2 linked regions of the Sus scrofa genome follow. The protein of the gene in region 2 purifies or fractionates together with the protein of the main gene of each other region. This does not show direct contact. Links are inferred from orthologs where the notes say so. Each region holds a gene or a part of one and is shown on either strand. Other genes may lie near its edges. The genes, in order: PICK1 and ASIC1.

Region 1 (3,799 bases), about 6.2 Mb from region 2:
TCTAAGAGTTGAACCTGCAGCCCCAAGGAAGCTAAGTCTACACCCAAAGGAGCTGGCCCCACTCTCCAGGGACCAGACCACGGGAGGAGGCTGGGTCAAGGCTGGAGGAGGTGAGTCTGTCTGAGGACAGAGCACTGGTCGGGGAACCTGGTCCTGAGGCCAACGCTGCCCTAAGGAGCTGCGAGACCGCTTTTTCAGTTTTCCCGAGAGTAAAACTGTAACTGCAGCAGCCCTGCTGGCTAACTGACTTGGAGGAAACAAGACCGGGACTAGCAAGGCCTCGGACAGAGACAGGACCGGGCCCAGGGTGAGCAACTGTGCCCACCACTGCTACATCCCAGCACCTAGACGATGCCCAGCCCAAGCCCGGCCTGAGGTCACAGGCTGTGGTGTCAGGAGAAAGTTCCCAGCCAGGAGCTTGGCTGCCCCCTCATGTACAGGGGTGGGAGAAATGCTGAACCCAGACGGGGACAGGGGTTCCTCTGGGGTCACGGAGCAGGTGCGGGGCCCTTACCCCGGTGCGTCTGTGACAGCTCATAGAAGGCCCGTAGGAGGTTCTTGGTGTGTTCCGTCATCCCTGTGCGAGAGACCCAGCCAAGAGGGACAGGGACACATGGCGGGAACCGCAACGGCCCAGGACACAGCCTCCAAACCCCTCACTGTTCCTGATGTTCAGATTTTTCTATGTTTCTATTGTGCCATTATTTGATTTTAATGAACGCGTGTTACTTTTATAATCAGAAAAAGTATATCTTAAGATTTTTTTTCCTTAAGAGGGTTTTTGTTTTTTTTGTCTTTTGTCTTTTTAGGGCCACACCCGTGCCATATGGAGGTTCCCAAGCTAGGGGTCCAACTGGAGCTGCTGCTGCCAGCCTATGCCAGAGCCACAGCAACGCCAGATCCAAGCCGCATCTGTGACCTACACCACCACTCACGGCAACGCCAGATCCTTAACCCACTGAGCGAGGCCACGGATCGAACCCGCAACCTCACCGCTCCTAGTCAGACTTGTTTCTGCTGCGCCACGACGGGAACTCCCTCCTTAAGAGTTTTTAATAGCCATGGCCCTGGAATCGTCTAGGCTGGCATGCCCGCCCCACTGCCATCATCTTTAGAGCAGGGTTCTGGAGCTCCCCCCAACCCGGGGCAGAGCCAGTACCGGGCGCTTCCTGGACGGGGACACCCCACCCACGGCGGGGCTGCGCCTGCCCACCTTTATACAGCTCTGCCGTCCGTTCCAGCTCCTCGAGCCTCTTGACAAGCCCATCTGTAGGGGTCAGAGAGCCAGGGTGAGGGGAGAGCTCCGGGGTCACCTGCGCCAGGCTTGTGAGGGGCAAGGTGGTCCTGGTGGAGGACCAGGAATGGCACAGAACAGGGTCCCAGGGAGAGGATTGGGCGCCTCGGGGTCAGCCGGGCTCACTGGTGTTTTGCAGAGAGCCCAGCACATCCAGACACGTTGGGGTGGCAGGGCTGCCCTCAGGACGCCCGAGTGAAGCGCCACCCTGGCAGGCTGGGGCACACCAAAGGGGCAGGAAGGCAATGAGGGTGCAGGTACTTCCAAAAGTCATGGGTGGAAACCCGCTGGGCCTCCCCTAAGGCCAAACCCACGGCCGGCTCCCCACGGCCAGCAGAAGGCAGGCCTAGGCCTAGCCATCAAGGCCCCTGTGCTTCTAACTCCCTCCCTGCCAACACCAAGGAGCAAGGCAGAGATGAGCAAGAGACAGGATGCATCAACAATGACTCTAAGGCAGGCTCAAGGCAGCGCCCGTCACCACCCGCCAGCTCAGAAGGGAGAACAATCTGGGTAGGGAGGAATCCAGGAGGGGCCTGCACTGGAGCGGGCCTTGGGGATCTGCCTAACAGCGTTTAGCAAGCTCCCACTGGGTGCCAGCCCCCGTATGAGGCCCAGGAAGGGCTGTGCTGAATGAAGTCTCAGCTGTGCCTTCAAGGCTCACAGTCCAGCAGTGACAGTGGCCAGGCCAGGACCAGGACAATAAGGGCTGCAAGGTGAGGGGCGGGGGCAGCTGCCTCCCCTCAAGGGCTCCAAACAGGGGGCAGGCAGACTGCCAGGGAAGGGCCAGCGTTCCTGTCAGGATGGGGCGGGGCTCCCACCTGCAGTGAGCCCCGCCCTCCTCCATTCCCAGGGGGCTGAGGTCCACACCGCCCCCACCAGGAACACCGGCAGCAACTGCGCGGCAGGCCCATGTTGGTGCTTCCTGGCCTGGCACCTCCTAGGGCAGGGCCTGGCCTTACTGAGTGCCCTCACACAGCTCGGTCCTCCCTCCATACGAGCCTTTGGGGCAGAGACTACTTCCCTCAACTTAGAGAGAAAACCAGGGACAGAGAGGCAAAGCAACTTGTCCAAAGGCACACAGCAAGGGCTAACCAGGCCAGGGTGCCCTCTGCTCCCGCCCCCCGCCGGTCTCCTGTGCTGACCTGGGCCAGGGTTTTCTGTGGGGGGAGAGGGGGCAATAACAGGAGCCGGATCTGGGCAGAGGCGGCTCTGTGTGTCGGTCGGGCTGTCAGGGAGGAAGGCTGGGGCTAGGGGCTGGACGGGAGCCCCTTGGAGGTCTTCAGGAGGCTTCGGCCACCCGGCTGGCCTCCAGGCCCTGGCTCCCCAGAGCCTTGGCACCTGGCCAGCCTGGCAGGGAAGGAGCCACGTAAGCGCCGTGCTGTTGTTTTTAGCTGGGTCATGGGACATCATGACAGCTTCAATTTTAGAAACCCTATTTAAGGCTGGGGAAATTGCAAGGTTTGGGGGGAAAAAACACAACAACCAGTTCTAATTTCATCGCAACGCATGGTAACTACAGTAACAGGGATTTATAGACACTGAGGAGCTGGAAATAGCAGCCGCCACTTTTGTGCACCATTTGGAACAAGCTCAGACCCCACCCCCACGTCCCGGCCAATAAAGCCCAGTGTGCCCAGCTGAGCCTACAATTTATATAGGTATTTATATCTGTCCCCACACGTCCACAGCAGAGCTGCTGCTATTTATAAACCCAGGCTGGTGACGGCAGGAGCAGGACTGTTTCGCTGCCCCCGCCCCAGGGAGAGCGCGTGTGTGCACAGGCAGGCATGGGTGTGAATATGCGTGGACGCACTTTTCCCTCTGTCCCAGGCAGACAGCCACCTCCAGCCCTGGGCAGGGACTGCTGGGACAAGGGCAGCAGCGCCACCTCCTGGAGAGAGGCGGGGCCGAGTGGGCAGTGTGGAGGCAGCATGCTGGGGCACGGGTGAGGGCTGAGGCCTGGCTGTGGGCGAGCAGCTGGGGGCGGGGGTGAGAGCCCAGCTCAGGGAGCCGGAAGGAGGCCCAGCCCCACGGTGAGTCTGTCTCCTCATCTGTGACCTGTGGACCCTTGCTCGGGAGTGAGGGACACTGGCTGGAAGATGCCTCCTCTGACCTGACCGTGGTGGACGCTCTCTGGGAGCTGGAGAGGCCTCCAAGGATGCAAAGAGATGGTAAATGTCAGCCCCACAAGCAGAGGCCAGGCCCAGGCCGGCAGGACCCCGGTCGGCTTGCTGGGCAGCCATGGTGCCCCTCCCCCTCGGGCCTGGGTCTGAGTCCCCTCAGGGCCAGAGGTGGGTGGGAGGAAGCGGGGGACTCACCATTGCACAGGATGGCCCGGCTCAGGCCCAGGGCATCGGCGGTCCCCGAACTCATGTTCTCCACCAGCCGATGCTTCACCTTCTTCAACACTGGGACCGGGTGAGAAAGGACTCAGGGAGGTGCGGTCTGGGCCCCCAGGCCGTCCCCGCCCCACCGCAACTCCCTGGGAGCCACGCCAGGGGCAGA
Region 2 (4,522 bases):
TCCTAACCTTCCCTGGGGTGCTGGCTTTGAGGCACCCCCATCTGTGTGTGGTGGGGTTATGAGTATCTGTGGGGCATCTCCATTTTAAGAAGCAAAGGGAGGAGTTCCCTGGTGGCCCAGTGGTTAAGGATCCCCTGTGGCACTGATTAGATCCTCGGCCCAGGGAACTTCAGCATGCTGTAGGTGTGACCCAAACATACGAGAAAAAAAAAGAAGAAGCAAATGGAGTCTCCAGTTCAGCCATGATTGTGTGTCCCAAATCATCTTTCCTTCCTCGGACCCCAACTCTGTGGGCTGGCAAGGGGTAGCCCAACGGGACTCTGTGTGTGTGTGTGTGTGTGTGTGTGTGTGTGTGTGTGTGTGTAATGGCTGAGGGAGAAGAGGATGGCCAGGGAGGTGTGGCATAGAGAGAATTACCTGTTAGGCTATTTAAGAGAAAGCTTCCCTTACTTCCCTGTCTCATGGTACTTCTCAGACTTTCATTCAACACACCCGGGGATCTAGTTAAAATGCAGACTCCGATTCAGTAGGTCTGGGAAGAGGGTGTCAAAGCCCTACATTTCTTTCAAGTTCCCAGGTGATGGTCCTTGGACCTCACTTTGAGCAACAAGGTGGCAGTGTACCCAGCACCACCCCCAGCTCGACACCTGTAGCCCAGAAGGTAAACTTGATGGGGTCGGGACCCTCCCAGGCACTGTGCACACGCACATCAGTGCGCCATGGGCTGTCTGTCCTGCCGTCACGGACACAAGGCTGAGGCTGTCACGAAGAGCAAATGCACTCCTGAGCAGAACAAACTCCTCTTCTGCCAGAAGGGAACCCTAGGGACATACAACTTCCTCCCTAGAGGCCTTCCCGGTCCCAGGCGCCTCCTCCTCCAGGACCTGCTGACTCCTGTCCCACACCAGCCAGGGGACTCACTCACCACCTTGAAGTCCTCGGCGCTGCAGACCTCCCCCCGGAAGTGGCAGGAGAGCAGCATGTCTCGAATGTCGTGCCCTGCGCGGTCATAGAACTCGCGCATGTTGAAGGGCTTGGGCTTGAAGCTGCGGAAGTTGGCCTTGTCCTGCAGTATCTCCAGCTGCTTTTCATCTGCCATCTGTGTGTCCGGTATCTCATACCTGGAGCCCAGGGGTGAGCAGCGCATGGATCAGCAGGACCTTCCGTTCCTGCTTCCATTTGGCCTCCAGTGTCCCACGCCCAACCTTGGGGGGAGGGCAGCATCCAGCCCTGGGCAGAGGCACAGAAGGAGAGCTGGGCGTGTCTAGAGGACCTGCCCCATGGGGTCTAAGAAGACAGAGGATCTGCAGTGGCTGCCCAGAGGCTGGGCATCTCAGCACATGGGTAAGGGGGGGGGGCAGAGATCAAGGCAAGAACTATGGCTTTTATACTATAGTTTAAAGATGGTTTGCTTCCATCCCCCGAGTGAGGAGAAAATTGAGACACAGTGGCAGAACGGTGGGCAAAAGTCACTCTAAAGGGGGGAACGATGTCTCACAACTCAGGCTGGATAGGGGCAGAGCTGTTTGGAACCGTACTGGGATCAGAGATTAGGTGCCCTTAATCGAGGGCTTGGCAGGACCCCAATTCCTTCGCTGTGAATGGCAGGTTTGAGTGGGGGGGCGCTGGAGGGCAGGGTTGTCTGAGCTGTATGATGGGTTAGAGAGGAAGCACCCCCTCGGGCGTCTGGGAGCAGGGGTGGGTGCTAGCCGCCCACCTGTTGTTGAGCAGAGCCAGCAGCTCCCCAGCGTGGTACAGGTCATTCTTGGAGACTTGGCTAAAGCGGAACTCGTTGAGGTTGCACAGCGTGACGGCAGGGAAGGTGAGCTGGGAGGCAGCCACCTCGTCGAGCTTGGTGACGTGGTGGTAGTGGAAGTAGTACTGCACACGCTCGGTGCACACGCACAGCAGCACGGCCAGCGAGCCCAGGAAGCACAGGGCCCAGAGAGCCCGCTTGAGAGACAGCCGCTCGTAGGAGAAGATGTGGGCCAGGCCGTGCAGCGTGGAGCTACTGGCGAAGGCCTGGATGCTCACCGGCTGGACGCCACCCACCTCCTCCTCCTCAGCCTTCAGTTCCATCCTGGCCGAGGGGATCCTGGGGGAAAGGGGGGTGGGGGAGTCTGTCACTGTCCTGGGGTAAGAGTACACATGGCGTCCCTCCAAATGTGTCCAGCCGGAATCCCCATCTCCAGAGGTCACTGCCTCTGGGGCAGGAGGCTTCTCGGGTGTGCAAGCCCCGAGGTGGCTGGCCAGGGGTCATACTCCCAGAAGAGGTTTTCTCCAAAGGCAGGGGCTTGGGGGTCAACTCAGGCCAAAAGAATGCTCTCCCGGGAAAGCCTCCGGGGCCAGGGGAGACCCCAGATGTAGTCATCCGAGGACGAGAGGGAAGTCCCAATGTTCCCACAGGCAGGCACAGGAGTTCCTTCCAGATGTGGGGTCACTCTGGGACAGGAATGTCCACCCCAGCCCGGAGACGCAAATTCCCCCAGATGGGCCGAATCCGGGGTCAGGAGTTCCTGGGCAAGGGTGTTCCCAGGATTGAGCTTTTGTCCCCGTGAGCTAAACCTGGGCCACAACCCCCACCCCACCCCCCGGGGGGGGGGAGGTGGGGAGGGGCCCAGGCTGAGTCCTCACCTGCTGGCGGCTCCAGTCCTCAGATCGGCGCAGGCTGTCTGTGTGCATGTTTGGGGTGGGGGGGTGGGGGGTAGAGGGCAGCCCGAGGTGGATGCCCAGGCATGGGGTGGGGGGGCGCGGTTCCCTATGACAGCGAGCTGTCCTCGCCCCGGACGCAACCCCCGCCCCCCCACGCCTTGAGTCTAGCTTCTCGACGCAGCCGGATCCCCTGCTCGGCCCCCGCCCCCCTCCCCAGCCGCTGAGACGCCCCGGCAGCCGGGGAAAGCGAGAGGGGAGGAAAGTCCTGGCTTCGGGGCGCTGGGGAGTCCCGCAGCCAAAAGCGGGGGGACCGGAGACCCACCTGAGGGGGCTTCGGGAACCCGGCAACCGGCGGCGGGTCCTGGGGCGCGGGGCCAGACGCGGGCTCAGCGCCGAGCCGCGGAGGGGCTCATGGCCCGGAGCGGGAGCCGGCGGCCGCCGCGGCACGCCGCGCAGAGCCCTGCAGGGAGCGGCCCGCCCGGCCCGGCTCGGCTCGGCTCCGTCCGCCCGCCGCGCGCGCTCGCTCGCTCGCCTCGGCTCGGTCCGCCTGGGCTCGGCGCGGTGCGCGGTGCGCGGAACGCGGTGCTCTCAGCCCTGGGATCTGCAGGGATCCATCGTCCGGCCGGGAGGCGGCGGGAGGGGAGGCGAAGGGGGAGGGGAGAGGGTGCGCGTGCGCGCCTACGAGTGTCTGCGAGGGTGTCTCTGGGCTCGTGTGCGCGCGGGGCCCCCGGAACGGGGAGCGGGACCGAGGGCTCCCCCCGCTGCCTCGTCCCCTCCTCCCAGCCGCTCTCGGAGCTGCTGCCTCCCTCCAGTCCCGGAGCAGTCTCCCTGTCCGCGAGGCCCTATGGCTTGTGTGTGTGACTGTGATGTGTGAGTGTGTGTATGTACGCGCGCGCACGCGCGCGCGCCGGGGAGGGAAGGTGTCTGCCCCCAGCGTCCCCCTCCCCGCGCTGTCTCCTTCGGATCGATGCTCCTTCCTCTTGCTGCTGCTTCCTCTGGTGGCACACACGCGTATGCGCGCGCGCGCACGCACACACACTCACACACACACAAGCAAGCTCCGACTCACACTTGACTGATTCAAGCACTTGCCCGTTTGGAGACACAGACATATATACAGACCAGAGTCACACCATGGCACTCACAGCCACACGCACCCTCCACAGACACCCACACACCTCAGAGGCCTGGCGCATAGGGCAGGAACTCAAGAGCTTAGAAATATTCACCTGTTCTCATTGTCCCTGCTCCCCACCTACATGTGACACATACACACATGTACATATGTAAACAAACACACAGGCTTGGCCACCCAAACCCTATCCTTGAGCCTTGGCCTTGCCTTGGGGTGGGGGCGGGGGGGGCATGTTTGCATCTCCTTACTACCAAACCTCTAAAGAAGGAGCAGAGAGAAGGAGAAATAGCCAGAGGTCAAGAGAATTTGGAGAGAAGTCAAGAAAGAGGGAAAGAGAAAGGAAGGGGCAGTGGGAGGACATAGGGTTGGGGGGTGAACAGGATGAGGAAGGGATGGAACCGGGAGCTGTACTCAGGGGTGGAGCAGAATTCTGAGGCACTGAGACCAGACCTGGGGGCAGGCGCGCGGGGGGGTGGGGGGTGCTTCTCCTCTAGCTCTCACCTCTCTCCTTTTCCCTCCCTCCTTCTCTCTGAGAGGCCTTGGGGGGCCCTCCCTACCCAATTAACAGAGAAGGAGCAATCAAAGCGAAGCTGTTAATTTGCTGATGCTCATTAGGGGCTCTCAACACGAAGACTGTTGAGGTCTGATGGTGTCAGGTGATGAGGAAGGGGGTGTGGGGGACCAAAATTCTATCTCTAGCCACTCCTTCACTCTACTTCCAGGCTGGTGCCACTC

The links.
Region 1: the proteins of ASIC1 (region 2) and PICK1 purify together in Homo sapiens (affinity purification with western blotting; 3 studies listed by BioGRID and IntAct, with this or other methods). This does not show direct contact. The link is inferred for Sus scrofa from reciprocal best matches to the Homo sapiens genes ASIC1 and PICK1.

The regions. Positions count from the first base shown.
Region 1 is NC_010447.5:9,812,636-9,816,434, forward strand, and holds part of PICK1 (PRKCA-binding protein), read right to left. Parts: intron 3,703-3,799; coding exon 3,613-3,702; intron 3,466-3,612; exon of another isoform or gene 2,832-3,465; intron 1,268-2,831; coding exon 1,214-1,267; intron 578-1,213; coding exon 515-577; intron 1-514. UniProt on the Homo sapiens protein: Probable adapter protein that bind to and organize the subcellular localization of a variety of membrane proteins containing some PDZ recognition sequence.
Region 2 is NC_010447.5:15,963,674-15,968,195, reverse strand, and holds the start of ASIC1 (acid-sensing ion channel 1), read right to left. Parts: upstream 3,079-4,522; 5' UTR 2,975-3,078; intron 2,096-2,974; 5' UTR 2,080-2,095; coding exon 1,718-2,079; intron 1,122-1,717; coding exon 926-1,121; intron 1-925. UniProt on the Homo sapiens protein: Forms voltage-independent, pH-gated trimeric sodium channels that act as postsynaptic excitatory receptors in the nervous system, playing a crucial role in regulating synaptic plasticity, learning, and memory.